Cricetulus griseus: one gene and its partner. The protein of the gene in region 1 purifies or fractionates together with the protein of each later gene. This does not show direct contact. Links are inferred from orthologs where the notes say so. Each region holds a gene or a part of one and is shown on either strand. Other genes may lie near its edges. The genes, in order: Cct4 and Tle2.

Region 1 (2,983 bases):
CTGTTACCTTGAATAGTTTTCCAGAACCATTTAAATTGACTTCCTCTGCTAACTCAGCAGAACCCAGCATGTCAGTAGTGAACTGGTCAATATGAGCAACTGGTTTGGTTCCAATTGTCTGGGGGAAAGAGAAGTCTACAAGTCAATATTCCTGGAGACAGAACTCAAATGGGAGAACCAGAACTTCTCAGGTATAGTATTCAAAGCACTGGACTCAATACCCAGCATGCAAAACAACAACAAAAAAACCACTGCTGGTACTGGAATCAAGGCTCAGTAACGATAGACTGCTCTTACAGAGTACCTCATGGCAGTTCATAGACCCATGTTAACTTCAGTTCCAGGAGCCTCTGAGGGGACCATGTGACCATGTGGTACAGACAGAATCACAGTACTCATATATATAAACAAAACCCTTAAAAACCAAAAACACTGCCAAGTGGTGGTGGCACTACATTTAATTCCAGCACTGGGGAAGTGAGGCAGGCAGATCTCAGAGTTTCAGGCCAGCATGTCTAAAGTGATCTCCAGAACAGCCAGGGTTATGCTGAGAACCCTGTTTCAAACAACCAAAACCAACCAACCAAACCCCCACAAAACTACTAACCATAATATAAAATCACACCCACAATGCATGCTAATGAACATTTTACATACATTACTATTTTACCTTACAAATGAACTCAATGTCTTCTCTTTCAATATCTTTAACCACCATGATCCTCATCTTATTCAGAAAATGTAATGCAAGATCACTAAGCGCATCTCTGAAATACAAAGCGTTTGTTATGTCAGATTAAAAATTTATTTTGTTCAGTAGTTAAGATTTTAATTTTACTGCTAGTCAAATGGTCAATTATGAAGGAAAACACCCAATTTATGCCATGCTCAGGATCAAATCCAGAGCTTTGTGCACATAGGCAAACGTAATCGATTCCACTACATCTCTAGCCTCAACCAGTTACTTCAGAACAAATAGCTTTTTGAAAACTATGTCATGCTCTTTTTACTTCTGGTCAGTGTTTAAAATTCATGCGTATGAGTGCTTTCACAATGAGTGTCATCCCATGGAACTGGAGTTCTACATTTGTGAGGCCACATGGATGCTAGGAACCAAACTCAAAACTAAGTCACTCTACAATCTCTATTTTTTTTTTTTTAAGGCCTTATTCTATCCCAGACTGACCCGATTTAGCAATCCTTCGGATTTAGCCTTCTGAATACTGGGATTATAGGCATGATCAGCCTATAATCCTATCACTCAGCCTTCATGTTCTTAAAATCTAGAAATGGAATCTATTATGTTTATGTTAAAAGAGAAATAGTACTGTTTTTACTAATGAAAATACGATACATCAAAATGTTCACTCTAGATTTCCCATGTGTTAGATACTAAGCAAATGTTTATTTAAAAGAAATTGCTGGGGGTGGGAGTAGGGCATTGATGGCTCGCTCAATGGTTAACAGTGCTTGCTGCTCTTGTGGAGGACGTGGGTTCAGTACCTAGACTCGAATATGGCACCTCACAGCTGCCTTATAAACTCCAGTTCTATGACATTCAACGCTTTCTTCTGACCTCAAAGGGCTCCTGTACGTATGTAGCATATACACTCAGGCACACACATACACATGAAATAAATATGGCTTTAAAAATTACTAGCAGGAATCACAAATCAAGTATAAATTCAGGAATAAGAAAATAGTCCCTGACCTTAAGATAGACTTCTGTATGAGAAGGACATTACATCCTGTTTTCTTAATCTGCTTCACCAAATTTAAAATATAGGCTCTCTCTTCTCGAAGCACTCGATCCATCTGGGCATAGTCAGATACTACTATTTGATTATCCATCTGATTGGAACAAGAATACAGTAATTATTACAGCAAGAGATTTTAATGGAAAGTAAAAGACCAATACCAAATAGTTAAATAGGCACATACAGAAAAAGTTCTAAAATGACATGTATAAACAAAGCTGGTTCTACTTATTTTAGTTTCTTTTTTTTTTTTTGAGGCAGGTTTACTCAGTGTAGTCCAAGCTGTCCAGGAAATTAAAGAGATCTATCTACCTGCCTCCCAAGTGCTAGGACTAAAGACACACACCACCACCAGCAGCAGCAGCAGCAGCAGCCTAAAGCTGGTTCTTCTTAAAATTGTAAGCATACCCATTACTGGTTTTTGTATGTTTGAAAGACAAGTCCTCCCTATGTAGCTCAGGCTGGCCTTCAATTAACCATCCAACCACTTGAGGGCTGGGATTATAGGTATGCATGACCACAGCAGGCTCTACTGCTGTCTGAAACTTTTTGCTAGTACATTTTTGATAAGTGACAAATGCAAAGTGGTTACTATTCCCCCAATATGAAGTTTTCCCACACATCACATGTATTATAAAAATAATTTTAATTGTATCATTTTTACTCTGGCTTGTCAGTATCATATATATTACAGAAATAATTTCACTACACCCTTTAACTCTATGATTTGGGACAGAACTAGGCATGGTGGTGTATACCTTTAATACCAGCAGGCAGCTGAGACAGAGGCAGGTGAATCTCTGTAGGTTTGAAGCCAGCATAGTCTATATAATGAGTTCCAGAAAGACAACAAATGAGAAGAGAGGAAGGGAAAAAGGGAGAGAGAATTTTAAACAAACACAGCCCGTCTCAAACGAACTGAACAAAAAAACAAGACGACAAATCTTATTGATGCTGGGCTGGAGAGATGGCTCAGAGGTTAAGAGCACTGACTGCTCCTCCAGCGGTCCTGAGTTCAATTCCCAGCAACCACATGATGGCTCACAACCATCCGTTATGAGATCTGGTGCCCTCTTCTGGTGTGCAGATATACACGGAAGCAGAATGTTGTATACATAATAAAAAAATAAAAATCTTAAAAAAAAATCTTATTGATGCCAAGAAATTAACCATTGTCCAGGTGGTAGTGGCGCACACCTTTAATTCTAGCACTAAGGAGGTGGAGG
Region 2 (4,542 bases), on another chromosome or scaffold:
GGTCACCTGTTTATGCATCTCAATGTTGAGGCCGTAGGACATCTCGTAGTACTGCAAAGGAGACAGTGTTGACCAGTGTGAACAGCTGGCCCCATCCTGGGTACATGGAGTCTTGCTCCAGCCTCAGGGGTGGGAGCTTCAGGGCAAGGCATGGAAGCATGAACCCCACGGGGACCCAGAGGGGGAAGCCAGAAGGCATTGGGCTCAGAGAGGCCGACAAGTGTCCAAGACTGGGGGTTGGGGAGGAGGGCACCCAGAGAAAGCTCCTCATGTCCCTGGCTGCCCTCTTTAGAGGGAACACAAGAGTGGGGGCAGCGAGGGCGGGACCCTACCATCACATAGTGCCTTTGCATCTCTGTCTTCTCGCTGGCCAGCTTTTCACACTCCAGTTTGAGGCTGGGCAGGAAGATTGGACAAAAATGGGGGATCGCCTCACCACACCCCACGTAGGTCAGTTTCCGTGACAGGTAGGAGCTGCCTGCCCACCCCACACTTCTTTAGAAACTGTCTCCAACCCTGGTGAGCCCAGGCCTACAAACCCTTCCTCAGGGAAGGTTTTCCCAGAAACCCACTCACGTCACCTTGGGAACACTGTCTCCACCAGGAAGCCCTCCAGTCCTCCCGGTGAGCCTCGCTCCTTGCCCTGCAGACCACGCCCCCTCCATAAGTCCCCACCCCCGGGGGCCTCCCAGTGCCCAGAGCTGGGGCCCCCTCACCTGTGGTACTGAGCTTGGAGAAACTGGAATTCCTCTTTGATCCGGTCACAGATTTCCAGGACTGAGAACTTGAAAGGCTGGCCGGACTGCAGCGGGGTCTGAGGGGATAGAGGAGAAGGACACGGGGGGGGGGGGAGTTCCGGGCACCAGCAGGTAGGGATCCCCTCCCTCGTCCTCCCCTGCTCCAGTCAGAGGTGGGGGTCTCCGTACTCACCGTACTCACCGGGTGCCTTCCCTGGGGGTACATCCTGCTGATGGACGGATGGGAGAAGGGGCAGCCCAGCTTCGTGGAGGCTTGGAGATGGGGCAAGAGGGAAGCTGGGGTGCGGAGGTGGAGCAGGGGACAGAAATTTAGGGTGCAAAGCTGAGGCTGGGAGTAGAATGTGGGGTGTGGGGCAGAGCAGAGGGTAGAATTTGGGGTGCTATTCTAGAGCTGGGGTGCGGCGAGACTGAGGCTGGAAAAGCTGGGAGAGAAGCCGGAGCTGGGGGAGGGATTTTCACGCAAAGAAAGAGCAGCCAGGGAGAGCCTGCCTGCCGGGGGCAGGGGACCTGGACCCCGCGCGGCGCCCCACCTCCCGCCAGCGCGCCCGGGTTGTCCGGCCCGGGGGCAGCTGCAGCCCGCGCCGCAGGTCCGTGGCCGCCGCCCGGGGTCGGCGCTGGTGGCCGGTAGCTGCGGAGCCGCCTCTCTCCGCAGGGCTCGGCTGGGAGCCGCGGGCGGGACCCGCCTTAAGGTGGCACCGGTCTGCCTCCTTGGCTCCCAGACCCGCTGGGGAAACTGAGGCTTGAGTTAGAGCCTACTGTTCTCGCCCCACCCCCACGCAAAAGAAAAAAAAAAGAATGAAAGAGAAAAACAAGTTAGGAAAAAAAAATCTTGCGTACTCCGGGAGCCCTGGGGGTTGCAAGAGTCTTTCTTGAGCCAGTAACACGGGGCCCCATGAAGGATGAACACCCCCAAACACCAATCCCAGGAAAGGCAGACCCCAGCTATGCTCACTAGCCAATGCTGCCCAGCTGTGGGGACCTCACGAGTGACCTCTCAGAGCATCAGGGGTGAAGGACCAGGACAGAGACCAGGGCAACCTGACATGCATGTTGGTGCCACCACCAGTCCACTGGGTGGCCTCCTCAGACCGGGTGGGGGTGGGGAGTCCAAGAGGACTAGACACCTTAAATTAGTACACAGAAACTTAGGTCTGGGGATAGAACCTGGTCACTAGAACATTTTTGCAGAGCTCATCTTCTGACCACCTCCAACCCTCACTGGGGAATTCTAGGCTCCAAACCATGCCCCAACCCTCCTTTTACTTTTGGAGATGAGGTCTGGATCAGTTCCCCAAGCAAAACGTGGGTTTGGAATCCTTATGTCTCAGTCCTATAGTAGCTGCGACAACAGGCCTGTGCCATCAGTCTCGGCTCTGACAACAAGCTCAAGTGTGTCTCTCACTTATCACCAGGGACCCCCCCCAGGGGGCTTGTTTCCTACTCTGCAGAACAAGAGAGCTCCTACCCCATTTCACAGAGAAGAAACCTCAGATCTGCCCCATCTTTAAGCCAAAATCAATAAACATGTGTGTATGCCTGGTGCTACTGTGGACAATTGTGCCCTGGGAAACTGGGCAACGACGATCACGATCATGGGAAAAGACCCCTCCTCGTTCGTTTGAACATTTGGACCTCTGTGGACAGCTAAGTCAGCTACAGGGGACAAGGGCCTTTACGAGATTCTGCAGAGGGAGGATGTTAGCTGAGACCCGGGACTTCGAGGATAAAAGGACAGACTCTAGGAGATGAGCCACGATCTGCCAAGACCGGGAGCTGCCCGTGCAAAAAGCAAGACTTTAGACAAACGATGACAGAGACGAACAAACAGGAGCCGTTGGTGTCATTAAGGCTCCATTGTAGATGGAGCCTTAAAAAGTCAGGGGGAGCCAGGAATTGACAGGAAGACCCAGAGGGAGGGAGCACCCTGAGTGTTCAGTAACTTTCTGAAGTGCCCCCCAACACCCATCTCGACCTAGAATCCCCCAGTGAGGGGTTGGGGGCGTGGTCAGGGTGGAGCCCCACCTAGAATCCCCCAGTGAGGGGCTGGGGGCATGGTCAGGGTGGAGCCCCACCTAGAATCCCCAGTGAGGTGCTGGGGGCGTGGTCAGGGTGGAGCCCCGCCTAGAATCCCCCAGTGAGGGGGGCTGGGGGCGTGGTCAGGGTGGAGCCCCGCCTAGAATCCCCAGTGAGGGGCTGGGGGCGTGGTCAGGGATGAATCCCCCCCTCAATATCTGGACCACCATGCTCTCCATCTCAGGCCTATCCATCCCTGGGCCTTTGCAGATTCTGTACAGGGCACGGTTCCTTCCGCACTTCTGCATTCCCACCACTCAGATTCTCCCCTATGAACGAACATCTCCTGGAGTCCCTGAAGCATCTTCTAGCTCAGTGGTTCTCTCAACTTTCCTGATGCCGCTAACCATTTAATGCAGCTCCTCATGCTGTGGTGACCCCCAATCATAAAACTATTGCATTGCTACTTCATAATTGTGATCTTGAACTTTTATAAATCGTAGTGTGTTTCCTGGTGATCTCAGGCGACCCCACAGGGGTCGAAACCCATAGGTTGAGAACCCAGCACCTGCTGCTCTGGACACAACCTACTCCTCAATCTGGTTCCACCACACTGGTTTCCTGCTTCATTTTTCCTTGCAGGTCATTCTGTCCCTCCCTAGGCTGTCAGGTCATTCTGTCCCTCCCTAGGCTGTCAGGTCATTCTGTCCCTCCCTAGGCTGTCAGGTCATTCTGTCCCTCCCTAGGCTGTCAGGACCGAGCCACACCCCTATCCCCAGGGCCTGGCTCAAAACTAGAGCGGACAAGGGAGCAAGATCGGAGAACACACCAGAAATCCTGGGCACGCTCCTGATTCCTGGGGAGTCTGAGAAAACACTATGTCCCCACCTTGTGCCCAGGCGGTCTGGGACCCCAGTATTTCCTCTCCCCGTTTGCTATTGGTAGCCCAGGCTGGCCTCAGACTCCCCTGGGGAGTAAGGGTCGCAGTGCGTGTCACCACGCTTACCCTGCAGTCCTTTCGGCCCCGGCCCGGCCCCGCCCCGCCCCCTCAGGGGATGGATAGGCCCCCAGGGATGGATAGGCCTTCCTTCTAGTGACCCTCAGCCTCGGTACTGTCACCTGGTGCAAACCCAGGACATGGTTTCTGCCAGCAGCACTCGTGCAGGCCACACACCGTGCACTCTTCCAGCTCCAGACTCCTTATCCCAGGGGACCTAATGTGCGGTGTGGCTCCCGGACTTTCTCTGGGGCTCGCACTTCCTGGAATCCCCTCCCCCCCAAAGACACACAGGTCTTATCAAAGATGAGCCCAAGGTCCCCTTCCGCAGCCTCCCCACAGCTGTGAAGGCGGCCAAGGTCAGAGGGAGCCCCCGGGAACCCGAGCGGACTTCCCGGAGGAAGGGGCCTCTGCCCCGCAGCTGCGCGTCCGGAAGTCACAGACTCGACGCCTCCGTGGAGGTGGGGGATGCGATCGGGGTCCCTGGGACTGAACCCCATCACGCCCGGCAGCGGGGGGGCACCGCGGAATCTCCCGCCCTCCCGAGTCAGCGTGGCCCCCGGCTGCCCCTGCCTTGGCGGCTCTCCAAAACCAGAGAGGAGGAAAAGGCTGAGGCTCGGAGCTGCCGGACTGCTCGGTCCACCTTAAATCAGACTGGCCGCCCGCTGCCGGGGACCCGCCAATCTCCGCCACGGGTGGCCGGGAGCGCCAGCCAATCGGCTCCCAGAGCACCCACATGGGTCTCTGACGTCACTCAGCGCACTGGCCAATGAG

Evidence for each region.
Region 2: the proteins of Cct4 (region 1) and Tle2 purify together in Homo sapiens (affinity purification with mass spectrometry; 3 studies listed by BioGRID and IntAct, with this or other methods). This does not show direct contact. The link is inferred for Cricetulus griseus from reciprocal best matches to the Homo sapiens genes CCT4 and TLE2.

The regions. Positions count from the first base shown.
Region 1 is NW_023276807.1:83,763,627-83,766,609, forward strand, and holds part of Cct4 (T-complex protein 1 subunit delta), read right to left. Parts: intron 1,852-2,983; coding exon 1,712-1,851; intron 768-1,711; coding exon 671-767; intron 119-670; coding exon 8-118; intron 1-7. UniProt on the Homo sapiens protein: Component of the chaperonin-containing T-complex (TRiC), a molecular chaperone complex that assists the folding of actin, tubulin and other proteins upon ATP hydrolysis.
Region 2 is NC_048598.1:102,322,519-102,327,060, reverse strand, and holds the start of Tle2 (transducin-like enhancer protein 2), read right to left. Parts: upstream 2,806-4,542; 5' UTR 1,711-2,805; intron 1,704-1,710; exon of another isoform or gene 1,596-1,703; intron 1,561-1,595; exon of another isoform or gene 1,289-1,560; intron 1,282-1,288; exon of another isoform or gene 1,011-1,281; 5' UTR 964-1,010; coding exon 931-963; intron 815-930; coding exon 717-814; intron 397-716; coding exon 333-396; intron 52-332; coding exon 7-51; intron 1-6.